Linked DNA regions of Oryctolagus cuniculus. The protein of the gene in region 3 interacts with the protein of the main gene of each other region in a pairwise test. Links are inferred from orthologs where the notes say so. Each region holds a gene or a part of one and is shown on either strand. Other genes may lie near its edges.

What was found.
Region 1: the proteins of XRN2 (region 3) and TARDBP interact in binary tests that used the Homo sapiens proteins (3 or more experiments, as listed by UniProt). The link is inferred for Oryctolagus cuniculus from reciprocal best matches to the Homo sapiens genes XRN2 and TARDBP.
Region 2: the proteins of XRN2 (region 3) and DISC1 interact in binary tests that used the Homo sapiens proteins (3 or more experiments, as listed by UniProt). The link is inferred for Oryctolagus cuniculus from reciprocal best matches to the Homo sapiens genes XRN2 and DISC1.

Annotation. Positions count from the first base shown.
Region 1 is NC_091438.1:157,254,503-157,265,156, reverse strand, and holds the start of TARDBP (TAR DNA-binding protein 43), read left to right. Parts: upstream 1-370; 5' UTR 371-758; intron 759-1,093; exon of another isoform or gene 1,094-1,230; intron 1,231-1,532; 5' UTR 1,533-1,546; coding exon 1,547-1,784; intron 1,785-5,929; coding exon 5,930-6,093; intron 6,094-7,500; coding exon 7,501-7,641; intron 7,642-8,515; coding exon 8,516-8,686; intron 8,687-9,023; coding exon 9,024-9,554; 3' UTR 9,555-10,654. UniProt on the Homo sapiens protein: RNA-binding protein that is involved in various steps of RNA biogenesis and processing.
Region 2 is NC_091444.1:51,495,864-51,506,517, reverse strand, and holds part of DISC1 (disrupted in schizophrenia 1 protein), read right to left. Parts: intron 4,572-10,654; coding exon 4,295-4,571; intron 1-4,294. UniProt on the Homo sapiens protein: Involved in the regulation of multiple aspects of embryonic and adult neurogenesis. Required for neural progenitor proliferation in the ventrical/subventrical zone during embryonic brain development and in the adult dentate gyrus of the hippocampus.
Region 3 is NC_091442.1:45,838,622-45,849,375, reverse strand, and holds the start of XRN2 (5'-3' exoribonuclease 2), read right to left. Parts: upstream 6,433-10,754; 5' UTR 6,322-6,432; coding exon 6,247-6,321; intron 1-6,246. UniProt on the Homo sapiens protein: Possesses 5'->3' exoribonuclease activity. May promote the termination of transcription by RNA polymerase II.

The DNA of each region.
Region 1 (10,654 bases), on a different chromosome or scaffold from region 3:
CCGCGGCCCACACAGCCACGTCAGCCATGAGAAACAACAGGGGCGTCTGGCTGGGGCGCGGGGCCGGGCCCACACGCGGGGAACGTGCTAGAACGCTAGCTCGGGCCTCAGCGTTCAAATGCCGGGTCTCCCATTTGTCCCGACCCACTCAACCGCTGAGCCCGGGCCTCACGGAGAACACGAGAGCTTAGGACAAGGCGGTTGTTCCCAGGTGTGTGTGCGGGGTGGGTGCGGGACAGTTAGAAGCGGCACCTGCCCCCCTCCACGCACGAGAACTCCGCGGCCCCGGCCCACAGGCCCCGCCCCGCCGCCCACGCCCCGCCTCGCCCTTCCGGGACCGCGCTCGTCTCGCGCACTTTCAAAGTGCGCGAGCTCCGGCCGAGACCCGGGGCCGACGGTTGGTCGGACGGAACCATCTGCTACGTTGCGTGGGGGGAGCGGAAGGCCTCCACGCCCACTTTTTTTCCCCCAAGTCTTTAACTTTCCAGCCCAAGTGCTGGTTCACGGTAGCGTTCAAATCCTCTCCGCGTGCTCATACTCTCAGGAGGAACCCAGTCTCCAGGATAAGGGCGGGTGTGGGTCCGTGCGGCGTCCTCCCCCTCTCGACGGGGAGCCGGTGGAGAGGACGACGGCCGGCGGGGGGAGGAGGAGGCGGCCCTAGCGCCATTTTGTGGGAACGAAGCGGTGGTAGCTGCGCTGCTCTCGGACCCCGGGCTGCTTCCGTCTCCCCGTCGGGCTCCCTAGCAGCGGCCTAGCGGGTGAGTCGCGGACGCTTCTCACTGAGGATGCCCGGGGCGCCCCGGCAGCTTCGGGCAGGAAGGGAGCCGTGGGGCCCTGCCCGAGCGGGCTCGCGCGGGAGCGTCGTTAGGGCCCGGCGCGGACTGGCAGCCGGCGCCCGGACAGGGACGCGGGGCCCGCGGGGCCTCGGGCGGAGTTTGGGCCTGGTCTGTCCGGGCCGGGGCAGCGCGAGTGCGATCGGGACGTGCGCCGCGGGGGCCGGCGGCCAGCCCAGGCCTGTGCCCCTGCGGCCCCACCCAGGGCCGCGCCGCAAACTCCGCCCTCGGCCGTCACGCGCTGGCTGCCGGGAGGGGCGGCTCGCCCGAGGCCCGGCTCCGGGAGCCCCGCCGAGGACCTTGCTCGCTGGCGGCTTCGCCCTGCTGGGCGCCCAGGCTTCCGTAGGGACGTGTGCCCCGGCCCGCGCGCCGGTGTAGGCTGCCCCGGCCCCCAGCGGTAGGTTTCTCAGGACTGCAGTGCGAGAGTTGGGGGGTGACCGTGTGTGCGGGGGCTGCCCCCGGGGCCACGTGGGGACTCGGGACGGTCGGAAGCAGCGGACTGGCCGGGCGGCGCGTTTTCTAGAACGTGTCCCTGGCCTCCCCCGTTCTCCAGGGCTGACCCCCACGCAGGACAGTGCGAACAGCAGTTTACTTGTTGGAAGTCAGGACAATAGCGGCGGCGGTGTTAGCACGTGGGTACAGGGGCGTGAGCAGCCTCGCGCGAGCCCGGGTCACCCGTGTGTCTTTTTCCTTTTGAAGAACAACAAGGGAAGATGTCGGAGTACATCCGGGTCACGGAAGACGAGAATGACGAGCCCATCGAGATACCGTCCGAGGACGACGGCACCGTGCTGCTGTCCACCGTGACGGCCCAGTTCCCCGGCGCCTGCGGGCTGCGCTACCGGAACCCGGTGTCGCAGTGCATGCGGGGCGTCCGGCTGGTGGAGGGGATCCTGCACGCCCCCGACGCCGGCTGGGGGAACCTGGTCTACGTCGTCAACTACCCCAAAGGTGGGTCCCTGCCACCTCGCTGGGGGACCCTGGTCTGTGTTGTGGGCTACCCCAGAGGTGGGGCCCTACCACCCCACCCCGCTGGGGGACCCTGGTCTACGTAGTCACCTACCCCAAAGGTGGTTCCCTGCCACCCCGCTGGGGGACCCTGGTCTACGTAGTCACCTACCCCAGAGGTGGGGTCCTACCACTCCACCCTGCTGGGGGACCCTGGTCTACGTAGTCACCTACCCCAGAGGTGGGGTCCTACCACTCCACCCTGCTGGGGGACCCTGGTCTACGTAGTCACCTACCCCAGAGGTGGGGCCCTACCACCCCACCCTGCTGGGGGACCCTGGTCTACGTAGTCAACTACCCCAGAGGTGGGGCCCTACCACCCCGCTGGGGGACCCTGGTCTGTGTTGTGGGCTACCCCAGAGGTGGGACCCTGCCAGCCCGCGGGGGGACCCTGGTCTGTTGTCGGCTACCCCAGAGGTGGGTCCCTGCCACCCCACTGGGGGACCCTGGTCTGTGTTGTCGGCTACCCCAGAGGTGGGGCCCTACCACCCCACCCCGCTGGGGGACCCTGGTCTACGTAGTCACCTACCCCAGAGGTGGGGCCCTACCACTCTGTGTGGAGCTGCGGCGTGGACTGGGGCTGCTGTTTGGCAGGACGTTTCTAACCCTAGCATTGCCCTAAACTTCAGTGTCAGGCTGACTTGGGAGACCACCCCTCTAAACTAGGGAAAGTGAGAAAGCTGTGTGTAAGCTGTCATCTGCGCACGCGTGGCCGAGTGGGTAATAGGTGTGTCTTGCAGATAGTGTCCTGCCTTGCAGATAGGTTTTTCTATAGCACCAGGTAGTTTGCTTTGATGGTGGTCTTTCTTTTGTTTGTTTGTTTGTTTTTATTTCACAAAGTTATAGACAGAAAGGTCTTCTTCCGTTGGTTCACCCCCCAAATGGCCGCTATGGCCGGCGCTGTGCCGATCAGGAGCCAGGTGCTTCCTCCTGGTTTCCCATGGGGTGCAGGGCCCGAGGACCTGGGCCATCCTCCACTGCACTCCCAGGCCACAGCAGAGAGCTGGCCTGGAAGAGGAGCAACCAGGACTAGAACCCGGGGTGCTGGTGCCGCATGTGGAGTATTAGCCACGTGAGCCACGGCGCCGGCCGGTGGTGGTCTTTCTGGTCATTCAGTCAGCTCTTCTGAGTTCTTAAATCATAGAGCAGACCTTGGGTGAGGGCAGTGCCAGCTGCAGTCGTGGGGGTTCTGAGGCTGCACTCGCTGCCTCTCAGCACTGATGTCCTGGATGAGAGGAGCAGCGTGGGGGTGTGCTGGCTGACCCAGCTCCTGCTGCTGGGGCTGCCCAAGTCAGCCGACTGCAGTTGGCAAGTAGGCAAATAGCTGACTTTAATGTGTGTCCAGAAAAAAGTAGAAACTCAAATTTCTTTAATACGCTGTTCCTTGAGCAGTTGACTACAAATTGCCGTCTGCCCCAGTTTACAGTGTCACTTAGGTGGGGTGCTGGTTGCCCTGTCGCGGTGCCCCCTGGGCCAGCACCCTGCCGATGCACTGGGGGAAGCAGCAGAGGCCGGCCTGAGCGCGTGAGCCCCTGCGCCCGTACGGGGGATCCAGGTGAAGCACCTCGCGTCTGCCTGGCCCAGCCTTGGGCGTTGCAGCTGTCTGGGGAGTGACCCAGCGAATGGGAGATCTCCTTCTGTCTCTCCTCCTTTATCTGTAGCTCTGCCTTTCATAAGTCATTTAAAACGATGCCGCTTGGTGGGGCCAGTGCCGTGGCGTAGGGGGCTAAGCCTCCCCCTGTGGTGCTGGCATCCTGTATGGGCGCCGGTTCAATTCCCAGCTGCTCCTGTTTGATCCGCTCTCTGCTGTGGCCTGGGAAGGCAGTGGAGGATGGCCCAGGTGCTTGGGGCTCTGCACCACTTGGGAGACCAGGAGGAAGCTCCTGGCTTCAGATCAGCTCAGCACTGGCCGTTGCGGCTATCTGAGGAGTGAGCCAGTGGATGGAAGACCTTTCTCTCATTTCTCCTTCTCTCTGTAACTGTAACCTCTCAAATAAATAAAATCTTAAAAAAAAAAAAAAAAGATGCCGCTTGGGGTGTCTGCATGCGACACTGGAGTGCTTAGGTTAGGTTTGAGTCGCACCCGCCTCTGCGTCCACGTCCATTTTCCTGCTCATGGACGTCCTGGGAGGCAGCAGGTGATGATTCAGGTCGTTGGGTTGTGGCCTGACAGTGTGGTGCCGTGGGTGCTGCCGTCCCATATAAGCACCAGTTCAAGTCTTCACTGCTCCACTTCTGATCCGGCTCCCTGCTTATGCCCTGGAGAAGCAGCAACAGATGACCCAAGTGCTTGGACCTCTGCTACTCACGTGGGAGAACCAGATGGAGTTCCTGGCTTTAGCCCATGCCTGGCTGATGGGGCCATTTAGGGAGTGAACCAAGGGATGGAAGGGGGCCTTTTGTTATTGTATTTTAAAGATTTATTTATTGGAAAAGCAGAGAGAGCTTCTATCCCCTGCTTCACTCCCCGAGTGGCTGCAGTGGCCAGGGTTGGGCCAGGAGCGAGTGGCAGGGATCCCAGTACCTGGGCCTTCTGCTGTTTTCCCAGGCACATTAGCAGGCTGTTAGTGCCCACGTGGGATGCCAGGCGTCTCACGTGGCAGTTCAACCCACTGCACCACAATGCTGGGCCCATAAATAAATCTTTTTTATTTTTTAAGATAATTTATTTGAAAGGCAGAGTAACAGAGAGAGAGGGAGATAAACAGAGTTCTTCCATCTGCTGGTTCAGTCTCCCAGGTGACCACACTGATCAGGACTGGGCCAGGCCAAAGCCAGGAACTTGTAACTGGTCTCCAGCGTGGTTCAGGAGCCCAGGCACGTAGGACATCCCATGCTGCACTCCAGGCACGTTAGCAGAGAGCTGGGTTGGAAGAGGAGCAGCAGGAACTCCAGCCGGTTCCCATAAGGGATGCTGGTGCCGCAGGCTGTGGCCTTAACCTGCTACACCACAGTGCCAGCCCCGCAAATAAATCTTTCCCAAAAAAAGGGTCAGGCTGAGTCCTTGCCACCCATGGGGGAGACCCGATTAAGTTTCCTGCTCCTGGCTTTGGCCTGGCACACCCCAGCTGTGTGGGCGCTTGGGAAGTGACGCAGCAGACCGGAGATCGAGTCCCTCCTTCACGCCTGCGTGCTCTCTGCTTTTCAGATAAAGAATGTCATTTAGTTCATCTCCTTTCTAAATAACCTTAAGATTAGGTTTGGCTTTTAAAAATAACCCGAGGTTTTTGTTTGGTTTGGTTTTTTAATGGCACAGTTTGTGTTTATTGTTGAAGGCTCAGGAAAGACAGGAAACGTCCACAGCTGGAGCTGAAGTGCAGGCATCCAGAGAGGCAGGCAGAGGCGTGTGCTCTAGCATGTTTCACTTATTTGAGAGCAGAGAGAGACAGAATGGGCTCCCCTCTGCTGGCGGACTCCCCAGAGGCCCCACTGGCCAGGACTAGTCCAGGTCAAACTGGAGGAGGATTATTTTTGTTTCGGTAAAGCTTCTTCTTTTTTTTTTTTTTTTTTTTTTTTTTTTTTTTTTTTTTTTTTTTTAAGAGAGAGAGATATTTTAATTATTTATTTGAGAGGTAAGGTTGCAGAAAGAAAGGTCTTAGAGTCACTGGTTCACTCCCCAAATGATAGCAATGGCCGGAGCTGTGCTGAGGCCAGGAGCCAGGAGCCTCTTCCAGGTCTCCCCCATAGATGGAGGGGCCCAAGGACTTGGACCATCTTCCGTTTTCCCAGGCACGTAATGAGGGAGCTGAATCGGAAGTGGAGCAGCCAGGACTCGAACCAGTACCCATGTGGGTTGTTGTGAAGTATTAACCTGTGCCACAGCGCCATCCCTGGGTAAACCTTTGAGAAGGAGGCTATAGATGAGATTGTGATCTTGAGATACTGCGAAGCCGGCGTTAGGAATCTCAGCCATTGGGAAAGCGCCGCAGCCCCTTGTCGGAGCCTCCTCTGTCTTGAGTGCTGACGTCACTCTTGGCCAAGCGTTTTCAGTCTTCACAGATTGATTTCTCGGGGTGGGAGGCAGTATGTTTTAAAGGGACGTGCTAAATGAAGATTTTTTTAAGAAGATTTCTGTTCATTTTGCTCAGATAACAAGAGAAAAATGGACGAGACCGATGCTTCGTCAGCAGTGAAGGTGAAGAGAGCCGTGCAGAAAACATCGGACTTGATAGTGCTGGGGCTCCCCTGGAAGACGACCGAGCAGGACCTCAAGGAGTACTTCAGCACCTTCGGAGAAGTTCTCATGGTGCAGGTAAGCTGGACTCGCTCAGCGGCGGACACGCAGCTCCCTGGCTCTTACTTCAGTGGCACTGTCTTTCGTGTTTGGATGATTATTTTTAAAGCAGAAAGCAGCAAATTTTTTTTTTTTTTTTAAGATTTATTTATTTGAAAGGTGGAGTTCAGAGGCAGAGAGAGAGAGGTGTCTTTCATCACTGGTTCACTCTGCAAATGGCCGAAACAGCCAGAGCTGGGCCAGTCCGAAACCAGGAGCCTGCAGCTTCCTCCAGGTCTCCCACGTGAGTGCAGAGGCCCGAGGACTTGGACCGTCTTTGCTGCTTTCCCAGGCCATGGCAGAGAGCTGGGTTGGAAGTGGAGCAGCCGGAACTCGAGCTGTTGCCCACATGGAATGCTGGCGCTGCAGGCGGCAGCTTTACCCACCATGCCACAGCGCCAGCCTGTTGGAGGGTGTTCTAAAGTCCTCATACAAAGTTAGCAGAGGACGCCTGGCTTACATGGTTCCCTTTATTCATGCCCACACGGGACCTTCGATGTTGTAGAATCCTGTGCCTTGAAGGCGTAGGGGAGTAGGTGACATTGAGTTTTTCCTTAAAAGATTTATTTATTTTACTTGAAAGAATTACACACACACACACACACACACAGAGAGAGAGAGAGAGAGAGAGAGAGAGAGAGGTCTTCCATCCGCTGGCTCACTCTCCAATTGGCCGTAGCGGCTGGAACTGCGCTGATCCAAAGCCAGGAGCTACTTCTGGGTCTCCCACGTGTGTGCAGGGGCCTTTAAGTGTTTAAAGGAACGGGAAATTTTTCTGCTTTTCCCATGTGATTAAGTTTGTAAACACTGACGACTGGCGTTGTGGCACAGCAGAACAGTGGGCTAAGCCGCTGCTTGGAATGTCAGCATCCCCTGTTGGAGTGTGGTTTCCAGTCCTGGCTGCTCCACTTCCAATCTTAGTAGGCCTGGGAAGGCGGCAGGTGGTGGCCCAAACACCTAGGTCCCTGCGGTCATGGGAGAGACCTGGAAGGAGGGCCTGGCTCATCCCCAGCTGCTGTGGCCATCTGGGGAGTGAACCAGTAGATAGAGTCTCTCTCTCTCTCTCTCTCTCTTTCTCTCTTTCTCTCTTTCTCTCTTTCTCTCTTTCTCTTGCTCTACCCTTCAGATATATTAAAAAATTTTTTTAAAGCTGGCACTTATTGTAAAACATTGTTAAAATTCTGTTGTGTCACTTGAGTTTTACTCTGTCCATTAACATGATCTGGATCCCTCTTGCTGCCTTTTATTTTCCTCAGTACTTAGCTTCATCGACATCCTAATTCAGCCACTGCGTTCATGGAAGCCGTTCAGTTTTCAGGAACTTTTGATTTAGGACTGCGAGTTTGAGTGCATGCGGATATTTTAGGAGTAAATTGTCTCTTCTAGGTCAAGAAAGATATTAAAACTGGCCATTCCAAAGGGTTTGGCTTTGTTCGTTTCACGGAGTATGAGACGCAGGTGAAAGTAATGTCCCAGCGGCACATGATAGATGGACGATGGTGCGACTGCAAACTTCCTAATTCTAAGGTACTTGGCTCTCCCTCTGTGGGTTGGGGATTTTTACTGACAGGCTTTCTTAGAAAGTGCTGTAAAATAAAACATTAAGTACAAGGGGGGTCTTTAACAAAATTGATGAAAGGTACGTATTTATGAAAAACAACTGAATTTTTTTAAATTTTTTGCTCCAGAATTTTTTTTTTAAGATTTACTTATTTACTTGCAAGTCAGAATTATACAGAGAGAGGAGGAGAGGCAGAGAGAGAGGTCTTCCATCTGCTGATTCACTCTCCACTTGGCCACAGCAGTTGGAGCTGTGCCAATCCGGGGAGCCGGGAGCTTCTTCCAGGTCTCCCGTGTGGGTACAGGGGCCCAAGGACGCTGGATCGGAAGTGGTGCAGCTGGGACTCAAATCAGTGCCCCTATGGGATGCCAGCACCTGCCACGCCACAGTGCCAGCCCCTCCAAGATATTTTAATTCCATTTTCCATTGACTTTGTTAAGTGCCCGCATATGCTTGGGAAAGGCAGTGGCAGGATGTGTTACAGCTTTTGCCTTGTAACTCTTCCAAACTGAAACTTTGCTCGCGTTATTCATGAGTTAATGTTTCCTGCACGGGTGTCTGTTGAAACGTGAAGACGTACAGCGTGTCATACGTTCACCTTGTTATGTAGGCCTGACAGAGCAGTCCTTGTTCAGAGCGTCGTCCCGTCAGGGCCATTCCTGTCGCTGGCTTTTCCCAGGTCCCGTCGCTTTCCTAACTCTGAAGTCTGGTCTTGAAGTCTTGCTGGAGGGAAAGGGCTGGTGGCTCCCTCGCAGGATCCCTCTGCTGTAACCAGACAGACTCTGCTGCTCTCCTCGCGCCCCCCAGCTCTGTCTGACCTCTCCCCTTTCCCTTGGCCAGCAAAGCCCCGACGAGCCCTTGAGAAGCAGGAAGGTGTTTGTGGGGCGCTGCACGGAGGACATGACTGCTGACGAGCTGCAGCAGTTCTTCTGCCAGTACGGGGAGGTGGTGGACGTGTTCATTCCCAAGCCCTTCCGAGCCTTCGCCTTCGTCACGTTTGCAGATGATCAGGTATTTTGCTTGGTGATGCGTCGCAGTGGACAGCCATCCTTAGCTACGCTTTCTGGGCTTGTACGGCAGCGGGATGTGTGGGCTTAGACACGTGTGAGACGAGCAGTGGGTAGCTTTCAGTATGTGCTGTTGGAGAGTATTACATGGTCTTGAAACAGAGTGAGATGCCCCCGCTCCGTGACTACAGCTAAATAAAGGCTGTGCTGCAGAACAGCTAGCGTCGTCGTATTTCTCTCCAGCGTGGATAAATTCTGCGTGCAATCTAGATTTTGTTTCTGCTTATTAGGTGTGTGTTCCGTGGCTTAATCTCCTTTGTCTGCACCCTTATTTCTTACAGGTTGCCCAGTCTCTTTGTGGAGAAGACTTGATCATTAAAGGAATAAGCGTCCATATATCCAATGCCGAACCTAAGCACAATAGCAATAGACAGTTAGAAAGAAGTGGAAGATTTGGTGGTAATCCAGGTGGCTTTGGGAATCAGGGTGGCTTTGGTAACAGTAGAGGGGGTGGAGCCGGCTTGGGGAACAATCAAGGTAGTAATATGGGTGGGGGGATGAACTTCGGTGCTTTCAGCATTAATCCAGCCATGATGGCTGCGGCGCAGGCGGCACTGCAGAGCAGCTGGGGGATGATGGGCATGTTAGCCAGTCAGCAGAGCCAGTCGGGGCCTTCGGGCAATAACCAGAGTCAGGGCAACATGCAGAGGGAGCCCAACCAGGCCTTTGGCTCTGGCAATAACTCCTACAGTGGCTCTAACTCGGGTGCAGCGATTGGTTGGGGATCGGCATCCAACGCAGGGTCAGGCAGTGGTTTTAACGGTGGCTTTGGCTCCAGCATGGATTCGAAGTCTTCTGGCTGGGGAATGTAGACCGTGGGCTGTGGTTGGTTGCTTAGAATGGTGGGAATTCAATTTTTTCTAAACTCATGGTAAGTATATTGTAAAATACATATGTACTAAGAATTTTCAAAATTGGTTTGTTCGGTGTGGAGTATATTCAGCAGTATTTTTGACATTTTTCTTTAGAAAAAAAGGAAGAGCTAAAGGAATTTTATAAGTTTTGTTACATAAAGGGTTGAAATATTGAGTGGTTGAAAGTTGAACTGCTGTTTGCCTGATTGGTAAACCAACACACTACAGTCGATATCGAAAGGTTTCTCCTGTAATCTCTTATCCCTGGACTTGTCAAGTGAATTCTTTGCATGTTCAAAGTGGAAACCATTGATTTAGAGCTACATTCTTTTCTCCTTGTTTTAATTTGAACCCCACCATACGGATTTTTTCCTTAGGAAAGTCTTCCTCTCGGGAGATGATGGTGTCACGCAGTGTTTGGTTCTTTCGGTTTTGTTTTTAACACTTGTCTCCCCTCATACAAAAGTACGATATGAAGCCTTCATTTAATCTCTGCAGTTCATCTCATTTCAAACGTTTATGGAAGAAGCACTTCGCTGAACGTAGTGCTGTAAACATTCTGCCATAGGAATACTTCTGTCTACAGCTTTCTCTTTCAAGAATTGGTCGTCACGCCGCGCGGGCTGCGTCTCTGACGGTGGGTGTCCCATTTTTATCCAGTACTCTTTATTTCATGGAGTCGTATCAACGCTGTGAACGCAAGGCTGTGATATGGAACCAGAAGGCTGTTTGAACTTTTGAAACCTTGTGTGGGATTGATGGTGGTGCCAAGGCATGAAAGGCTAGTATGAGCGAGGGAAGGAGAGAGCGCGTGCAGAGACTTGGTGGTGCATAATGGATATTTTTTATCTTGGCGAGATGTGTCTCTCAATCCTGTGGCTTTGGTGCGAGAGTGTGCAGAGAGCAATGATAGCAAATAACGTACGAATGTTTTTTGCATTCAAAGGACATCCACATCTGTTGGAAGACTTTAAGTGAGTTTTGTTCCTAGATACCCCACGTAGCTGAATGTGTTAAGTGAAACGATACTTGTACCCCTGCCCCTTGTCAACGCTGTG
Region 2 (10,654 bases), on a different chromosome or scaffold from region 3:
CATACTTACATACACATGACAATGATTATTCATGTATCAGTCACAATAAGATATCAGCAACTATAACTAACAAATTAGATTATAATAATCTACTATAACAGAACTTATGTGAACGTGGCTTCCCTTTCTCTCTTAAAATGTTTCAGACTAAATCTTAGTGACTTCAACATATGCTTCTTTTTGCCTCTCCTTAGTAAGGAAGCACTTCCCAGCTTCACTTAGGTATCTCCAAACTGCCAGCACCACTACTCTTGTGCTTGGGGACATGACTTAGAGAAATAAAGATTATGTGAACACAAGCACAGCCATATGGTGACAGCTGATCAGATGACCAAGGTGGCTACTTCAGTGATTAATGGGCAGGTATTGCACAAAGTGTAGCTATGCTGGACAAAGGAATGATTCATTTTGCAAGCCAGACTGAGCAGGATGGCATGAGATTCAATCATACTATTTGGAACTCAATTTAAAACTTATGCATTGTTTATTTCTGGAATTTATCATGTAATATTTTTGGTTAGCAAACGATCATGGATAAAAGAAACCATGGAACATGCAACCACAGATAAAGGGATTACTGTATAAGGGGGTTACTTCTAAGAGGGACACTGTTTAAACCTGCTGTTGCAGTACGAACATGTGACAACGGCACTGAAAGGCAGCAAAAACTTTAAAGTCCCCTCTAGAGCCCCCCTTCACTAGGAAAGCCACAAACTAATCATGGGACATCTTCGGCCACTGGTGGAGAGGAACCAGGATGCTCAGGGATGGAACATGGTTGGCAGCCCATGGGACTTTTACGGGATTCAAGTCATTATAAGGCAAATCTCTAATTCTTCTTGCATACTTGTTCCCTAATGTCCTACTTTTTTTGGCAAATACAGTCCTGTTTTCCCATAACCAGATAATGAACCGGCAGGCACTTACAATCTGATGGATGAAGAAAAGCCCCCTGTACCTGGCAATGTCATCCCCGCCCCCCCCCTCCCCGATCCTGGTGGGCAAGGGAACTCAGTGAGGAAGGGAGAGCGTGGTGCAGGAGTGATGGTATTCAGGACAAACCATCCAAAATATGGCACATTGGCATGTGTGGATATGGCAGAAGCAGGAGGAGCTCTCTGATTGCCTCCTGCCCTTCTTCGCAGGGCACATAAGAGTTCTGTGGCCTTCCTCTGAAGCTGCTCCTAAGACTCTGATATAAGAGAGGCCCTCCCTATACTCAGAGGAAAGAAACATCCTTACCTGTGAAGATACAGGGACACAGAGAAGAATCTGCACAACAGCCCTTGCTAAGTTCCCCCCACTTTATGACCACTAAACCATTCCCCTTTTGCTCAATCACAGTTCTCCACAACTGCCCACTTGTTCATGACACTAAGCATAACAATACACAGATTTTCCTTTTTCTTTGAGACTGCATTTCTGAAGACTCCTATATCACATAAAATTTAATGTTATTTTTTATTTTTTATTTATTTTTATTTATTTATTTATATATTTTTTGGCAGGCAGAGTGGACAGTGAGAGAGAGAGATAGAGAGAAAGGTCTTCCTTTGCCGTTGGTTCACCCCCCAATGGCCGATGCGGTCAGCACACTGTGGCCGGCGCACCACGCTGATCCGAAGCCAGGAGCCAGGTGCTTCTCCTGGTCTCCCATGTGGGTGCAGGACCCAAGGACTTAGGCTATCCTCCACTGCACTCCTGGGCCACAGCAGAGAGCTGGCCTGGAAGAGGAGCAACCGGGACAGAATCCGGTGCCCAGACCGGGACTAGAACCCGAACCCAGTGTGCTGGCGCCGCAGGCGGAGGATTAGCCTATAGAGCCGTGGTGCCAGCCAAAATTTAATGTTAAATAAATGTGTATCTGTTCCCTTGTTAATCTTTCATTACAGGTGGCTCAGCTGGGACTCTCCATGGATGGGCACTTACAGGGAGGGACTGCACTCCTGGTAGACACCAGCTCGGTGGAATCAATCCTGACCTCCATCAGGACCCTGCATGAAGCACCTGCTGGGAGCCTACTTTGGAAGCCCTGCCTTCAAAGGCTCAGCCTGGTCGCCCGCAGTTTCTTCCTTCCAGGGCTTTCACCCCCATGTTTAGGAGACACTTTGCTCCATCAGAATAGATGCTTTCGACCCATCCACTTGCAGCAGGCGGCAGATTTTCAACATCTCTGCTTAAACCACTGGAGGCCAAGCTGGGGAGTGAGAAAGTGGTCAGTCTCAAAATACCAATCCCTAACAGAAATATAAATAAATCCAGGAGATTATAGAGGAGGAGACCTCACACATGTGTGCCTAATAACTAGAACTATTACAAAATCACCAATACTTCACACAGAAAATACTTCTACAAGGATGTCTGCCCTGTAGATCTTGGTCTGCCTATGCAAGCTTCTACTGACACCACCTTTATTACACCTGTAGCCAAGGATAATTGTTTCAAAACAATTTAAGTCATCTTCCTCATTTTCCCCTTAAAAACTTTCCCATATTTTAACCTATTTGAAATGCACATTGTTTACTAAGCTCTGTATATTTCCACTGCAATTTTCAGTAAAATATATATTTTATTTTCACTAAATATATTTCACTAATTATATTATATTCACAATTTTCACTTAGTATATTAACCTTTGGAGAATTGCTCTGTGTTATTTAGGTCAACAGGAAGATTCCACCTGCAGTGGCTGTATTAACAAAGCAGCTTAGATCCATCATCTGTAGTTCCATATTGAACCTAATGTGATTTGGCCAGCAACGATTCCAGACTGACAACAGCCTGGGTTCTCATAAGCTCATTCGATTCACATAGAAGACTGCGGGTCAAATTTCTCAGCAGTCCAGAAGGCTGTGACTAAATGTCATGTTCCAGTAAAGTACATGACTGGCCACTCTGCAAAGACCACGGATCTGCAGACAGGATGTGAACTGTGATGGGGCGGGGTGGGGAGAGGAATGCTCTCCCCAGCCATTCATGGTGAGTTCTGGCAAAGGCCCAGGGAAGGGTTTAATGTCTAAAATCAACCATGAGACAGCCAAGCAGCACATTCTTCTAGCCTCCAGGCTTCTGTTTCCTTTTCATGCTCAAAATACCGGGTAACCTGGCCACACAAAGAGCCCTGAGGACTACAGTGAATACGGTGAAATCAGGACAAAGTTCCTGGAGCTCTTTTTCCTTGAAAGGACTTTTGTTATAATGAGAGGTGGGGAGCAAGAGAAAAAGAGAGGAGAGAAAGAACAGAGAGAGGGAGACTCGAGAGGGAAGACAGGGAGAGAGGGCAGAGGGGAGGGATAGGAGCAGAGAGGAAGAGAAAGACAGGGGAGGAGACAGCAGGCCAGGGAGGTCATCTCTCTTCATGCAAGTCTGCCTCCAGCATAAAGAATCAAATAAAACCACATTTTCATTTGTAGTACGTATATCCCAGGCCAAATATTAGTTCTTGTTCTTTTATGAAAAAACACATTACAACCATTTATTATGATCTGATTTTGGTAAAGAAAATTAGTAGTATGTAGACATATACTTGAATGCTTAATTCCATAAAGTAATAATATAATATATTCTAAACATATAATTAAATGTCACATATGACATGGATGGGATATTGATAATAACTGTAAGTTATATTTGACATGTATAATGTGGCCTATATAAAGTAGTTCTATATTAGCCTGTATATTCTAAATCTAGCTATGATATTAGTATAAAAATAAAACTAAATATGTTAAACATTTTCCCTGCTTGTCCTTCTCTGTTTAAAATTTCTTCTATAAAAATTCTATTTAATTTTGTAATCATATTCAATAGCTATTAAAACTTTTCCAAGTTTGCTGGCGCCGTGGCTCACTAGACTAATCCTCTGCCTTGCAGCGCTGGCACACCGGGTTCTAGTCCCGGTCGGGGCAACGGATTCTGTCCCGGCTGCCCCTCTTCCAGGCCAGCTCTCTGCTGTGGCCCGGGAAGGCAGTGGAGGATGGCCCAAGTGCTTGGGCCCTGCACCCCATGGGAGACCAGGAGAAGCACCTGGCTCCTGCCTTCGGATCAGCGCGGTGCGCTGGCCGCGGCGGCCATTGGAGGGTCAACCAATGGCAAAAGGAAGACCTTTCTCTCTGTCTCTCTCTCTCACTGTCCACTCTGCCTGTCAAAAAAAAAAAAAAAAAAAAAAAACTTTTCCAAGTTTGTGTGGTTTGATGATAAGCCTGCCCAAAATGTGCTGCTTCTGTGTACAGCATGGTCCCAAAGCACCCACCAGAGCAGGCCTTCCTGTGAAGGCCACGCCGACAGGACACACCTCTTTTTGTTCGCCTCCTCTGCATAGAGGGGAGGGGGTATGATGAGCCTTCCACTCTTGGTCAGCTTGCAGAAGGGTCGTCCTCTCATCTTCAGAGTGGGGACTGGGAGGGACACTGGGAGCCACTGCCCAGGCAGCTCCTTCTAAGTCACCCATCTGCCCCTCATCTTCCACACACAGGCTGCCTTTGGCTTCCTGTAGCTGCAGACTCTGAATAAGCAGTCGACAAGCTTCCAAGTCAGCTTCCCACACTCTTCCAAGCAGGGGACACTTGCAGCTAAGGCAGAGGAGGAAACAAAAGCATAAAAATTAACCCAATGGTGACTCATCAATGGTGACCAAGTCAATAGCTTATTTACCTAGATAGAAGTCTGCTAGACATGTTATCCTTAATTTCATTTCATATTGTAACAAATTATTTCAGCCAGAAGATTCAGAGTGCCAGATCTGTATACCATCAAGTTCTCACACAATAAGTGTTGGTCCTCCATAGCCACTTGGTCTTTTTTTTTTTTTTTTTTTTTTTTTTTTTTGACAGGCAGAGTGGACAGTGAGAGACACAGACAGAGAGAAAGGTCTTCCTTTGCTGTTGGTTCACCCTCCAATGGCCGCCACGGCCGGCGTGCTGTGGCCAGCACACCGCGCTGATCGGATGGCAGGAACCAGGTGCTTCTCCTGGTCTCCCATGGGGTGCAGGGCCCAAGCACTTGGGCCATCCTCCACTGCACTCCCTGGCCACAGCAGACAGCAGGCCTGGAAGAGGGGCAACCAGGACAGAATCTGGCGCCCCGACCGGGACTAGAACCCGGTGTGCCAGGGCTGCAAGGCAGAGGATTAGCCTAGTGAGGCGCGGCGCCGGCCCACTTGGTCTTCTACAAGACCATCTAGACCCAGTGGCCAAATACAACATAGCCTCTGTCCATATCGATGTTCCAACCTATGCACTTTCTTTGGGTCCTCAGATCTGCCTAACTCTCCCCAGCTCAGTACAAATGCATGTGCTATTTTATTTTCCTGGACCATCTCTCTCCCATCAAACAACAGCAGTCCATATATGCCCATACCTACATCCGGCTGAATTGCTGTATCTTCAGATTTCAGCTTAAATAAACTTTTCTTGCAGGAACCTTCCCTCCCTTCCAATTAGAGACATTTTATGATTTCTCTCTTTAACATCTTGTACTTTTCCTTCAGACTACTTATCATAATCCTAATTATTTATATGATTTTTGGTTTGTTCTCTGAGGTCAGGGCTTATTTCTATCTTGTTTTCCACTCCATTGTTAGAACCTATTAACATGGAGCATAAAATCCAATGCTAGCGTGCCCAGCATACAATGCATATAAAGAGAGCCAAGCAGGGGTGGTATTAAATGCACAACAGATATTCAGCCTTGGTGCCAAAAGAGAACAGAAAGAAATGATTCTGGCTGGTAGGAAGGACATTTCCTTGTAGGGAGTCTGTTACAAGTGCAGTCCAATTAAATCTGTAGGACACATGGACTTGGGGTAGACAAATTTTTTCATTTTTCATGAAAACTCAAAAATCTTGCATTTAAAAAAAGTATATCTTTCATTCATCCATTTGATTTCATGATAGATACTTTTTTTTCAAAGAAACCTTTTATTTAATCAGTACAAATTTTATAAGTACAATCTTAGCAATATAGTAATTCTTCCCACCATACCTGCCCTCCCACCCCCAATCTCACCCCACCTCTTACTCCCTCTCCCATTCCCAGTCCCATTCTCCATTTTTAAAAAAGTTCTTCAACAGTCAAGACAAGGGCTGTTCAAGTCATTGCTTCTCAAAGTGTCAATTTCATTCTACAGATTTGTTTTTAGGTGCTCTATTAGTTATCACAGATCAGGGAGATCATATGGTATTTGTCCCTTTGGGACTGGCTTATTTCACTAAGTATGATGTTTCCCAGATTCATCCATTTTGTTGCAAATGACCAGATTTCATTTTTTTTACCTCTATGTAGTATTCCATAAAGTACATATCCCATAATTTCTTTATCCAGTCTTCCCTTGACGGGCATTTAGGTGAATTCCATGTCTTAGCTATGTAAATTGAGCTGCATAAATATGGTGGTGCAGATAATTCTTTTATTTGCTTATTTTATTTTTCTTGGGTAAATACCCAGTAGTAGGATGGCTGGGTCCTATGGTAGGTCTATATTCAGATTTCTGAGGTATCTCCAAACTGACTTCCATAGTGGTTTTACCAGTTTACATCCCCACCAACAGTGGATTAGTGTACCTTTCTCCCCACATCCTCACCAGCATTTGTTGATTGTTGATAGTATCCTATAGATTCCCAACAGTGTTTTTTATTTTTCTAATTTCTTTTTCTTGTGTTTGGTCTTATTGTATAATTTCCTGTGCTTTGTCGTCTAAGTTGGATATTCTTTCTTCTGTTTCACTGATTCTGTTGTTAAGGCTTCCACTGTGTTTTTTTGTTTTTTATTTGTTCTATTGAATTTTTCATTTCCAAGATTTCATTTGGTTTCTCTCTCTCTCTCTCTTTTTTTTTTTACAGGCAGAGTGGACAGTGAGAGACACAGACAGAGAGAAAGGTCTTCCTTTGCTGTTGGTTCACCCTCCAATGGCCGCCGCAGCCGGGGCGCTGCAGCCAGCGCACCGTGCTGATCCAAAGCCAGGAGCCAGGTGCTTATCCTGGTCTCCCATGGGGTGCAGGGCCCAAGCACTTGGGCCATCTTCCACTGCACTCCCTGGCCACAGCAGAGAGCTGGCCTGGAAGAGGGGCAACCGGGACAGAATCCGGCACCCCGACCGGGACTAGAACCCGGTGCGCCGCAAGGTGGAGGATTAGCCTAGTGAGCCACGGCGCCGGCCTCATTTGGTTTCTCTTTAAGATCTCAATTTCATGGGAGAAATTTTCTTTCATGTCATGTATGGAATTCATTAGTTGTGCATTTGCTTCTGATTACTTCTAAGTAATCCTATGATCAATGTTTTGGATTCCATTTGTGGCATTTTTTCAATCTCATCATCTTCACAGTCTAGAACTGAAGTGCATTCTTTTGGGGGTGTCATGTTGTTTTCTTTATTCTTGTTTCTTGAACTGGTGCATTTGTTATCCCACATTTGTGGAGATACTCGTTGGTTTCTTCTTTGCTTTGTTCACTGTGGAGACTTTACCTCTGGATTATATCTAGATGGATCAGTGGAGTGTCTGCTTTCAGGAATACCTAGAAGCATGTGGTGGGTGTGGCCAGGGAGCTCTGCTCAGTGCTCCAGGGTGAAGGGTGTCTGAGGTGACACACTCAGATTTGGTGTGGTAAATCTCCTTTTTAATTTTTAATTTTTATTTTTCATCAGAGGGGAGTTTTATTCTTGTCTGTTGGCATAGACTTAGCTGAGCTCCTCTCCTTGAAGGAGACCAGTGCCTGGGCGCCTGCCCCAGTGAGTATATTATTTGTTTGCTGTGCCACAAGGACCACACAAAGAATCTAGGTAGTCCTCAGTGTAAGCTCAGATTACTCAACAATGTCCCTTGCCAGGTAACCAGGAAGTCCTGATTGTGTAGAGCCTCCCACAGTGACTGGCCAATGTCCAGCCATACCTTGAGTCCTCCCACACAGCTTCAGTGTTTTCACAGTCCCGGCACACAAACCTCCCACAGTCACGAGCACCCAGACTACTTATGGTCTAAAATACATGTAAAATTAAAATACATGACAATCAGTGCAAAGGGAAGGAGAAAGCAACAGCAACTAAAATATTTTCAGATCCTAGAATTGTCCAGAAAATAGTAAAAATGTCCATTTATATTAGACTGAAAAGTCAAGGATTCACACTGAACTCTTTATAGTAATCATAAAACACAAAAGTAAAAGAGTATATAAGAGGCAAGCTAATATGGAAGAGAATTTTAACAATTAGTACAACTTTATTATTACTTTAATGAAAACAATAAGAGGAAGAACTGAACATGAAACAGATGTGAAAAATAGTGGAAAGATGTAAACCCAAATAGATCAGGAATTACATTAAATATAAGTAGATAAATAATATATTTAAAAGACAAAGATCTTAGATTAGAATAAAAGATCAAAATCTAATTATATAGAGTTTACAGGAGACATGCATTAATTATAAGCTTATGAACAAGTAGTAAGTAAAAGGATAGGAATGATACAATGTCATCAAAGCATTATCAGAGATAAAGTGTGAAAAGACAACCTTTTGAACATATTTTGTTATGGTAACTATATATCACTATAGAAATACACTAAATCATGATTAATAACTCACATGATAAAAATAGAAATTTCAGGTGGATTGTAGAAGATAACAGAGTAATATCTTTATGACAGTGGTAAGCAGACTGTAAAAACAAGCAGAAAATACTAAACATAGGCAAATGATAAATTTAACTTCATTATGCGGCTCACTAGGCTAATCCTCTGCCTGCGGCGCCGGCACACCGGGTTCTAGTCCCGGTCAGGGCACCGGATTCTGTCCCGGTTGCCCCTCTTCCAGGCCAGCCCTCTGCTGTGGCCAGGGAGTGCAGTGGAGGATGGCCCAAGTACTTGGGCCCTGCACCCCATGGGAGACCAGGAGAAGTACCTGGCTCCTGCCATCGGATCAGTGCGGTGCGCCAGCCGCAGCGCACCGACCGCGGTGGCCATTGGAGGGTGAACCAACGGCAAAGGAAGACCTTTCTCTCTGTCTCTCTCTCTCACTGTCCACTCTGCCTGTCAAAAAAAAAAAAAATCATTAACAGAATTAACGGTAAGCTGCAGAGTGGGAGAAATTATTTGTAATATATATAACCAATAAAAGACTGGTTCCAGACATTAACAGGACTGCTAAAGTCAATTAGAAAAAGACAGAAAACCCAATTTTGAAAGTGGGCAAAGATTAAACAGGCACTTCATAAAAGAGGGCATCTGAATGATCAATAAGCAACTCATGAAAAGATGCTGAAACATCATTAATCATCAGGAAAAAGCATATTAAACCACAGAGTGATGTACTACAAATCAACAAGATGACAAAAAACCTTACCACATCAAGGGTTGAAAAAGATATGGAATTATGAGAGTTCTCACACACTGCCAGTGGGAGTGTGCATAAATGGAATATCTTTGAAAACTCTTTATCTGTCTACTAATGTGGAACAATAGGTCAATCATATGACCCATGAATACAACTTCTAAGTATTTATAAAATAAAATACATATATAAGCTGACTTTTATTATTCACAATAGAAATGCTCTAAAAAAAATCACTGCTCCTGGAGGAAATATAGGTGAGATTCCTGTCACAAAATTGAGTCTCTGATCATAAATTTTTAATCAACTGATCAATATATATGTGTGCTTCTGTTTAAAGATACCCTATTTAATATACACTGCTGGTTAATTAACACTGAGCTAACTGCTAACAGGATTATATAACTCATGCATGTTGTGGAGCTTTTGTAATATGTGTTTTCTTCATAAGGCACCTTCACAGTCTCCCTATGGTAAGGAACACTATATGGCACTTTGGCCCTGCACTTGGGGGTCTTTGTAAACAACAAAATGACCTCCCCTCCAAAAAAAAAAAAAGAGCATAAAAAGAAGAAAAACATGGCACTAAATGGAAAGGCAAAAAGGATACTTGTTTACAATATGAGAGCTGAAAAAAGAAGGCAGCTTTGCTTTGATCAGCCTGAACTGGGAACAAGCTTGTGGGAGATGCAAAGTGTTTGCCAGTCTGTGTACGTCCCTGAATGACAGAGAAAGTTGTGGGAATGTTGATTTTGAAATTACAAATAAACTTTAATGAGTAGTTGAATCAGAAATATAGAATACATGAATAATAAAGATAAATTGTATATATGATCATGTCACATTATTTGTAACAAAATCTGGAGTAAAAACCAAATGTCCATAAATGGCAGAATGGACAAATAAATTGTGCAACATACATTTGATAGAATATCATATGCGAAGAAGATGGAAGGGTTATTGCTATATATAAGCATATAGATGAAACTCATAAATATAACGGTGAACAAAAACAAAACAAGACAAAAAGTATGCACTATGATTCCATTTGTATTTTCCATGGTGTTATTAATCAGGATAGTGATAACCTTAGGGAGAAGAGGAGCAGCAAGTCAGAGAGGCATAAGGGGGCTTAACATGTCAGAGAGGACGCTCATTTTGATTTTTAACAGCCCTTGTCTCAAGTGTTGAGGAACAGTGGTTCTTTTCCTTCATACTATTCGGTGAACTCTTTACTGAGTGAAGGGTTAATCTTATAAGTATAAAATTAACTGAAAAATAGATCTTTGTAAAAAATAAGAATGGGAATAGGAGAGGGAGGAGGAAGAATGG
Region 3 (10,754 bases):
TACAATATCCTGGAAAAGCGAAGAGCTGCCTGAGCCCTGCTCCAGTCCCTGCCAGATTCAGGGAGGGACCACCTGAGACATCAGGGGGCCTCGATCTGCAGGAGCAGGATGTCCTTTCACGCCAGTGAATTAATTACAGGAATGCTGCAAAGACCTTTCATAATCAAACACGCTCAAGAAAACTTCAAGAAACTGAACCCAACAGTATATAAAAATACATCATGTTTTTAAGAATTTTTTTTTTTAATTTTAGATTTTGTGAGGTCTACACTGTGGCATAGTGGTTAAGCCTCAGCCTGCGGTGCCAGCAACCCATGTGCGTGCTGGTTCAAGTCCTGGCTATTACACTTTCAATCCAGCTCCCTGTTAATGCGCCTGGGAAAGCAGTAGAAGATGGCACAAGTGCTTGGGCCTCTGCACCTGCATGGGAGACCCAGAAGAAGCTCTTGGCTCTGGATCAGCCCAGCTCTGATGTTGCAGCCATTTGGGGAGTGAACCAGCAGGTGGAAGACCTTTCTCTCTGTCTCTCCCTCTGTAACTCTCTCTCTCTCTCTCAAATAAATAAATTATTTTTTTAAAAAAGATAGCTGATGTTAAAAAAAGAAGAATTTCAGATTTTGTTTTTAGAAATAGTCAAGCTCTGGAAACAACCCACATGTTCAGCAATAAAGTGAAAGAAAACACAAAATGTGGTACATCCACAACAGAGAATACTAGCTAAAAATAAATAGAAATGAACAACTCATAACTGTGAGAAAAGGGATAAATCTCAAAATAACAATACTGAATGAAAATTAACTGGGCCAGGTTTAAAAAGAGAGGAAGGGCCGGCGCTGCGACTCAATAGGCTAATCCTCCACCTAGCGGCACACCGGGTTCTAGTCCCGGTCGGGGTGCCGGATTCTGTCCTGGTTGCCCCTCTTCCAGGCCAGCTCTCTGCTGTGGCCTGGGAGTGCAGTGGTGGCCCAAGTCCTTGGGCCCTGTACCCGCATGGGAGACCAGGAGAAGCACCTGGCTCCTGCCTTCAGATAGGCGAGGTACGCCGGCCGCAGCACGCCAGCCGTGGTGGCGGCCATTGGAGGGTGAACCAACGGCAAAAGGAAGACCTTTCTCTCTGTCTCTCTCTCTCTCACTATCCACTCACTCTGCCTGTCCAAAAAAAAAAAAAAAAAAAGAGCGAGAACATATAAGGTATAATTCTATTCACACAAAATCAAGGAGAATGAAAGCCAATCAGTGGCTGACTGACAGAGCAGCAGGGAGGGGAAGGAGAGAGAAATTACAAAGTGGGGGAAGGAATGTTTTAGAGGTCAAGTTCATTGTCTTGACTGTAGTGATGGCTGCATGGAATTCCACCCTTCACAGAAGTAGTTTATTTTTTGTCATTTGTACTTCAATAAAGCTACAAACAGGGAAGAAATGGGGGCGGGGGGGGGGGGGAGCCAGAGGACAAAAAATTAAAAATCAGTCACAGGATGGCATTTGGCACATCAGTTAAGACTCCTCCTTGGGATGCCCTCATCCCATACTGGAGTGCCTGAGCCCCAGCTCTGTTTCAGATTCTGGCTTCTGTTACTGCGGATAGATAACGTCAAGTGCGAGTGTTCCTGCCACCCATATGAGAGGCCTGGGTTAGTTTTATGCCCCTGCTTTGGCTAGGCCCATTTCAGCTGTTGTGGGCATTTGAGAAGGGAAACAGCAGAAGATCGGTCTCTTTTTCTGCTTTGAAATAAGCAAACAATAAATTTATCAATGAAAATAAACAAATCATTCTTGGAGGACCCATATTGAGTTTAGAGAGAGAAGGGGGAAAAGGTCAAGAAATACTTAAAACTAAAGAACACAATATTCTAGACCTAAGATAAAAGTTATGCCTACGTACAGAATCAGGGCCGTTTATACTGTCAAGGAAAACATAAAATTCAGAACGAAAAGCTGATCCACACCGAATAATGAAAGTAGATCTTCACAAAGAGCACATCCTTCCTTGTTTCTGCCCTGGTTCTGATGTTTCTTAGCTCAGGGCCTTTAGACTTGTTACTCAATCCTTCTGTGTTTCAGCTTTCTCATCAGTAATAACAGTAGTAAGTAAACCAGCAGTCAAAAGTGATTAGAACAGTGCCTTTAGAAAATCAATAGAAAGCAGTGGAAGATGATCCAAGTACTTGGGCCTCTTCTTCCTATGTGGGAGACCTGGATGAAACTCTTGGCTCCTGGCTTTGACCTGGCCCAGGCCCAGCCATTGTGGCTGTCTGGAGAGTGAACCAAAGGATGGGAGACCTCTCTCTTGAATAAATAAAATAAAATCAAGTAAATAAAATTAAACTTTAACCACTATATTCCTAAAGTTGTACTTATGAAATGTATGAGGGCCGGTGCCATGGTGCAACAGGTTAATCCTCTGCCTGCGGCACTGGCATCCCATATGGGCGTGGTTCTAGTCCTGGCTGCTCCTCTTCCAATCCAGCTCTCTGCTATGGCCTGGGAAAGCAGTAGAAGATGGCCCAAGTGCTTGGGCCCCTGCACCCATGTGGGAGACCTGGAAGAAGCACCTGGCTCCTGGCTTCGGATCAGCCCAGCTCCGGCCGTTGTGGCCATCTGGGGAGTGAACCAACAGAAGGAAGATCTCTCTCTCCGTCTTTCCCTCTCACTGCCTATAACTCTACCTCTCAAATAAATAAAAAAAAATCTTAAAAAAAAGAAATGCATGAAGTTTGTGTTCCTTAAATAAAAATTTCTTTGGGGAAAAAAGAAAATCAATACAGTCAAAAGTTGCCTAGCATGGTAAATGTAAGTGTTAGCCATCTGTAAGTTAAATGAATAAATCACTCGCACACTGAAATTGTTATGAACATTAACTAGTTTATTTAAAAAAAAAAAAAGCTAGGCGCCTGTGTTGTGGTACAACAGGCTAAACTACCTGCTGTGATACCAGGATCCCATAAGAGTGCCAGTTCTAGTCTTGGCTGCTCCATTTCTGATCCAGCTCCTTGCTAATACACCTAGGAAAGTAGCAGAAAATGCCCTAACTCCTTGGGCCTTGCACCCACAAGGGAGACACAGATGCAGTTCCAGGCTCTTGGCTTTGGCATGGCCTAACCCTGGTCACTGTGGCCATTTGGGGAGTGAACCAGTAGATGGAAGTTCTCTCCCTGTCTGTCCCTCTCTGTAACCCTTTCAAAGAAATCAATCTTTAAAAAAAAAAAAAAAAAAAAAGATAATTTTCATTACCTGAATTCTATTCCTAGCTATGAATGCTGATTCATGTGTATCAGGGTTGAATGGAGATGTTAAGCCCCACAATGAGTCAGAAAACTCACCTCTCAAACAATATTTTTTTTTTAAAGATTTATTTATTTGTCTGAAAGGCGAAGTCACAGAGAGGCAGAGGAAGAGAGAGAGAAAGAAAGAGAGAGAGAGAGAGATCAATCCATCTACCATCTGCTGGTTCACTCCCCAAATGGCCACAACAGCTGGAGCTGGACTGATCCAGAGCCAGGAGCTGCTTCTAGGTCTCCCACATGGGTGCAGGGGCCCAAGCACTTGGGCCACCTTCTAACGCTTTCCCAGGCCATAGCAGAAAGCTGGATGGGATGGCTGGAGCCGCGGCTCAATAGGCTAATCCTCTGCCTGCAGCGCCGGATTCAGTCCCAGTTGCTCCTCTTCCAGGCCAGCTCTTGCTATGGCCCAGGAGTGCAGTGGAGAATGGCCCTAGTCCTTGGGCCCCGCACCCACATGGGAGACCAGGAGAGGCACCTGGCTCCTGGCTTCGGATCAGCGCGGTGCGCCAGCTGCAGCGGCCGTTTGGGGGTGAACCAACGGAAAAGGAAGACCTTTCTCTCTCTCTCACTGTCCACTCTGCCTGTCAAAAAAAAAAAAAAAAAAAAAACTGGACAGGAAGTGGAGCAGCCAGGACTTGAACCGGCATCCCACTGGCACTGCAGGCAGCAGCTTTATCAGCTCCAGCACAGCTCCAGCCCTGTCAAACACTATTTTTTAAAAAAGTCAACTGAGAATCAAAAACAAAGGAAGCATTTAAGCCATGAACGATAATGCTCTGTAACAGTAACTTTGGGGCCAACGTAGTGGGTAAAAGCCACTGTCTGAATCGCAGGCATCCCATATAGGCACCAGTTTGTGTCCCAGCTGCTCCACTTCCAATCCAGCTCCCTGTTAATGTGCCTGGGAAAGCAGAGGAGGGTCCAAGTACCCGGGCCCCTCCATCCATATCGGAGACAGGGAAGAAGCTCAGGCTACTGGCCTAGCCTGGGGCCCTCATGGCCATCTGGGGAGTAAACTGGTGGATACAAGATCTCTCTCTCTCTCACTCTCACTCTCACTCTCCTCTCTGTAACTCTTTCAAATAAATAAAAACAAATCTTAAAAAAAAAAATAAAAGAAGCTCTCTGAAGAAAGGCATTTTAAAAATAAAAAAGGAAACCTTCCAACATAGACCCCAGAGGAATCTCCAAGAGAATAGAAAACGTCAAGTTAGGATGCGGAAAGCTGTAAAGTGGGGAAAAAAAAGGCAACACCTGGGGCTGATGCTGTAGCACAGTGGGTTAACACTCTGGCCTGAAGTGCCAGCATCCCAAATGGGTGCCAGTTCAAGACCCAGCTGCTCCACTTCCGATCCAGCTCTCTGCTATGGCCTGGGAAAGCAGTGGAAGATGGCCCAATTCCTTGGGCCCCTGCACCCACGTGAGAGACCCGGAGGAAGCTCCTGGCTCCTAGCTTCGGATAGGCGCAGCTCTGGCCGTTGCAGCCAACTGGTGAGTGAACCATCGGATGGAAGACCTCTCTCTCTCTCTCTGCCTCTGCTCTCTCTGTGTAACTCTGACTTTCAAATAAATAAATAAAATCTTAAAAAAAAAAAAAGCAACACCAAAGCAGAAAAAAAGCAAAAGACACAGAATCAAAGTACAAAATCTGAATCTGCAGTAACGATAACCACAATAACATCTGAGCTTGCAGACTTTACAACAAATCTGTGGAGTCAAAACACCAACAATTTTCAACTTTGGATGCCAACAATATAAAACGACATCTGACAAACCAGACTCCCACTGAAACGGAAGCGGAGAGAGAAAAACGGAGATGAAGCTCTGAAAAGCACCAAGTGATACCTTGTACTAGGGATGGCCTTAAAAAACAAAGGCACATTACTTAAAGTTATAAAGTAACTAAGGCCTCCATCACGGCTGATACTCAACAGCTGGGCGCAAAACTGACACATCAAGTATTTACACAGAAGCGAAACAGTTCTGAGCGGAGAAACGGGAGGGGAAGGTGTGGAACAAGGAACTAGTATTGTCTGTATTCGTTCAACCCCAGCGCAAGGAAAAGTGTAATGAAAGGTTGGTAGAAGTGGTAGAAGTCTTTAAGAAACATTCGCTTTAAGCAGAGCACCAGGAAGACCGCGAATGCCACCAAAACCAGGCTTTCGGATTCTCCCCGGATTGCAGCTAAAAAAAGTAAAAATCAGAGTTATCTTCCCGATGGGTGCCAGCGAAAGGGGACTGGGAGCGCCCCCAGGCCTTGCCCAGTTCGCAAGCTCTACCCACGCCTCCGTTCAGAGAGCGTGCAGGAAAAATCCTGCAAACTGAAAGCACCCCGACTCGGCTCGCACACGAGTCAGCCAGCGCACGCCGAGAAGAGGGGGGCACTCATCCACACTCCCACCTAGCCCTCGACTTTCCAACGTGCTTTAACCTGAAATCCCACCAAGAGCAACTAACCGGCCACACACACGCCGGGGAAGACCCTCGAGAGAGGGGCCAGGAAACAAACGAAACAAACAAAAAAAGCCCGCCCCCTGGGTCACTGCACCAGGCAGTTTGTTACAGGCAGGGTTAGCACCCGCGCCTCCCTAACAGGCGAACTCCGCACGGCCCGTCCCCAGCCTCCGGCCAGACCCAAACTGCGCGATCCCCGGAGGAAACAAAGCCGTGGGCGGGGCCTTCCGGTATCGGAAAGGGAAAAAAAAAAAAGCGGGCAGGGGAGGAGCGGCTCTCCCGCCAGTTCCGACCCCGAACGGCCCTTGCCCCGCCCCGGGCGCTCCTCGGGACCCCCAGACTCCGAGCGCCCGCGGTCAACCCCGCGTCCCACCACGGCCGCCCGCGGGGCTGCGACAGAGGAGTGCGGGCTCCCCGGGATCTGAAGACAGGCGGCGGGCCCGAGAGCCGCGGCCTAGGCTCTCCGGGGCCTCCCGGGCGCTAGCGTGACGGCCGCCGGGCGCTTCCTCACCTTCTCTTCCACGCAGTTGACAATGATGGACGGATACTTGCGGCTGAGCCAGCGGAAGAACGCCGGGACTCCCATAGCGGCAGCGCAGCGGCCGGGCCAGCGGACCAGCGTAACCGGAGAGACAGGCAGAGCGGCCGCCGCCGACACCGGCACTTCCTCCCACGTGCGCGCCAGCGACCGGAAGTGATGTCACGGCGTCACCGCCGAGGAAGCCGGGAAGGGGACTTCGCCGCTAGGTTGACGGAGCGGCCCGCGGGGTCCGGGTGGTCCCGGGCTGGGCTGCTTGTGGATGGAGGGGTGGGCGGCGCGCTTGCGCCAGGTGGTCTCAGGCCCGGAGTGAGTCCGAGTTGCGGGGACGTCGGCTGACTCCCTCCGTTTCTGCGGTGAACCGGACTGTCAGGAGGACTGTTTATAAGTGTTGTACTGTAATAAGGCTGGTTTGCATAAATAACTCACTCCACATAGTTGCAGGGTGGAGTTGAGGTGGCATTTAGCATCCAGTGCAGCCTTGAGGACTGTGAAAATACCTGCTGGTGGCACTCCTCTGCACTTCCTAGCCCCGACTGTGCTAGGGGATTATCTCGTTTAACTGTCACTTAAGCCTTCTGAAGGCACTGTCATTACACTCCTCTAACGTACTGCGCATGAGAAAGCCAAGTTGTAGGGTTAACTCACTTGCTGATTGACCCAGCTGGAATTTCGGTTCAAGCAAAGATCGATTAATCGTCTGTCTTTGCACTGACATACTTTTGATGGCTTCCGATGCGTTTATTTTGTCAGCAGGTGGAAGGGGAGGTCTGGAAGAGGAGCCATTTATGTCCATTTACTCAAGCCTGAGAAGGCTCTTGCCCTGGAATCCCCTCTTGGTCTGATAAATCACACTCAATCCTAAAGGCTCACCTCAAGAGGCCTCTAAGAAAGCAGGGTATTTCTCTGGGTTCCCCTGCACACTATTCATTGCCCCGCCCCGTCCCCTGTGCTCTGATGACACTGTGTTGGTGTGGGTATTCGAGTTATCCCATATTTTATGGGAGAATAGCCAGAACTATCCCAGAGGGTTCTATTTCTGGGGAGACTCCTCATTTTACCTAGAGACGGCCCCTCCTTTGACAAGTATCTGGCTCTGCTCCAAGCTGCTATGCATGTACAGGAAATGTACACACATCACAGGGAATGCAGGGATAGGCCGTGGTCAGGTTGAGTCATTCATTGAGAACCCTTGCCCAACGGTTGAGAACTTCGAGCTGTGAGGAATGGGAGGTGGCGCCTCCCAAACTAGAAGAGCAAAATTCAACTTATTGCCATCGTGCAATGAGAGAAGCAGGTGTTAAGTCCCTGAGACCAATGGTTTGTGAGCTCCAGCTAAAATCCCTTCCACAGTTTGGTTGGTAAGCCTATCCTTTGATTTTATGAGCCAATAATAATAATAGTAATTTTTACCATAAGCATGGTTAACTGATGTTCCTATCCCTTGGGAAGGAAAGAGTCCCAACAAACTAGTAGTAAAATTTGGGAAGTGCACAGTTAATTCATCTGGATAAGTTTGCAAAGAGGCATAAAAATTGGAGATTTGGGTGCTCAGAAGAGAGAAAGGTAGGAGAAACCCAAAAGATACGAACTAAATGTTGCGATGCCTTCATCAGCCTAATGTGTCAGGACTAATACTGGATGTGAGTTTTTCTCGGGGAAATGAAGAGAATAGATCTTGTGTTGGGATCACTATGGTCTAGCACAGGCTTGGGCAACATTGCAGAGTTCAAGAAGCCAACTAAGTGGGAATTTATGAGTGCCGGAATTTACAAGAGTGTTGAACCAGACTTTGGATTTCCACCAGCTGGGAGATCAGAGGTTTTTTAAACATTTTTGCCCAGACTGAAGGAGCCAGAAAAGCCCCCCACACACACACCAGTGGATTATATGGATATCAAGAATAGTGTGAAAAATATACAGTATTTAAAAGCCAGAATGTCTGTAAACCCAAGTTGATTTTAAGCCCCATTACCATTGTAATTACCATAGGAAAGAGTCTTTGTGTTTTTGTTTTCTGCCTACTGTTGGTCTCTGGATTATTTAGTTGTCGCTCCCCCTCTTTGCGGAGGAACGACACAGGACCCTGCGTTGTTCTTTCGTCTGCTCGGCCCTCCCCGGGTTTGCTGCTGGTTCTTCCCGGGTTGGCTGCCGTCCCTTCCACCTCCGTGGAAGGGCGGTTCCCCCTGGCCACTTTCCCCACTTCCGCAGGGGAGCGGCACACCGCCGGCCGGCTCTCTTGGGGGCTGCACAGGTGTTCCTTCAGATAGATGTTCCCCTTAGATGTTCCTGGTGCATGCCATCTCTCTCCTCTTTTATAGTCCTCCTCCGCCAATCCCAACTCGGCTGCCCACACGCCGAGTACGCTGCTCTCCTCCAATCAGGAGCAGGATCAGCTCCTGGAGGTCATCACTCAAGTTGGCAAGAGGCAGCTGCGTAGAAGCTGTTTTCTCCTCTCCCAGCGCCATATTGTGGGAGAGCAGATGCATAGAATAAGTCTTAATTCCAGTAACTTAGTCCAGTCCGGGTTGCTCCCCACATTTAGTGCTTCCTTTCCCTCTTTAGCCTTACAAAATTCATTATGAATAACCTGATGTACTTAAAATAGTAGTCATAGTAACTAATTACTGGCTTCCACTTGATGGGACTACAGGATGCTCAGATATTTAGACATTCTTCTGGGTGTTTGAGTGAGGACATTCTTGAGTGAGAGTGAAAAGTTTAATCAGTAATGCAGGTTGCTCTCCATAACTAACATACGCAGGTGTCATCCAGTCAGTTGAAGACATGTGTAGAACATGAAGACCTGTCCCCAGACAAGAGGGGATTCTCCAGCCAATTGTCCTCGTGTTTTATCAGCACTGTCTTCTCTCCTGAGTGGTCTTGAACCTGCTGACTCACACTGCAGATTTGAATTTCCAGGTCTCTATAACTGGGTGTGGCAAATCCTTATGATAACTGTCTCTCTGCAGGTAGAATTACGAAGGTACTTCAGAAAATTCATAGACAAATTTAATTTTAAGATAATAAAAATTTCCTTGAACATTTTGAATGCCCTTGGGATAGTATCTATGTTATTATATGTATATTGTATATATGTAATAGAATTCTGTTTCTCTAGAGAACCTTATTACAGTAGTTTTATTAACTTGCGAATTGTCATGTGCTTTTGCTATTTTATGTGGAAGAAGCCTCCAAACAATTTATTTCCAATTCTAAATCAGTTTTTCTTGAGCTAAATGGAGAGCTGTTCTTCAGAGTTTTGTTTTTAATCTAAATAAAACAAGTTTAGGACCTTTAGAAATCAATGCACTTTGTTGGTGAAAAGATGCTAATCAGGAAATGAGATTTGGGAAATTAAAAGACAGTAAGAGTATTGGTTCAAGAATAGGCAATAGGAAAATGAGGTCCCAAATAGACTTACATATGTATGAACACTTGAATAAGACACGTCGTACTGTAGAAAAGTGGGGAAGGGATACTTTAAAAAAAAAAAAAAAAACATACTGCTGTAATCATTCCTTAGCTAACTGGAAAACATGAATATTCTACCTAGAACTAAACCACACACACACGCACACATACACACACAACCCTCCTATTTGATTATAGTCCTAAATGTGAAAGGCAAAATTACAAAGCTTTCAGAGATAATATAGATGTGCCTGGGAAGGCAGCAGAAGATGACCCAGTAGCTGGGCCCCTGCCACCTATGTGGGAGATCTGGGTGGAGTTCCTGGCTCCTGGCTTTAGCTGTGGGGGTTGGGGTGTGGACCAGCAGATTTGACAACATACACCCACTCTCTGGCACTCTGCCTTTCAAATAAATAAATAAATAAATCTTTTTTAAAAAGATAAAATAGGAGCTGCCGCCGTGGCTCAATAGGCTAATCCTCAGCCTGCAGCACCAGCACCGGGTTCTAGTCCCAGTCCGGGCGCCGGATTCTGTCCCGGTTGCCCCTCTTCCAGGCCAGCTCTCTGCTGTGGCCTAGGAAGGCAGTGGAGGATGGCCCAGGTTCTTGGACCCTGCATCCCATGGGAGACCAGGAGAAGCACCTGGCTTCTGGCTTTGGATCAGCGCGGTGCGCCGGCCGCAGTGCGCCAGCCAAGGCAGCCATTGGAGGGTGAACCAATGGCAAAAGAAGACCTTTCTCTCTTTCTCTCTCTCTCACTGTCACTCTGCCTGTCAAAAATAATAATAATAATAAAGAAAACTAGAAGACAGGATTTGGGATGTTTTTCATCATAAAGAAATGTTTATGTTTGAAGAGATAAGTCTGTTTACCCTAATGAGACATTACACAGTATACATGTATGGAAACATAGTACCCCATAAATATATGCAAGTTTTGTATATCTAAAAAGTATGTTTCAAGAAGGGAAACAGCTCGAGGTGACCTAAAGTTAAAAGATACACTTCCTGGGCCCTGACTGTTGTGGCCATCTTGGGATTGAGCCAGTGGATGAAATATTTTCCCTCA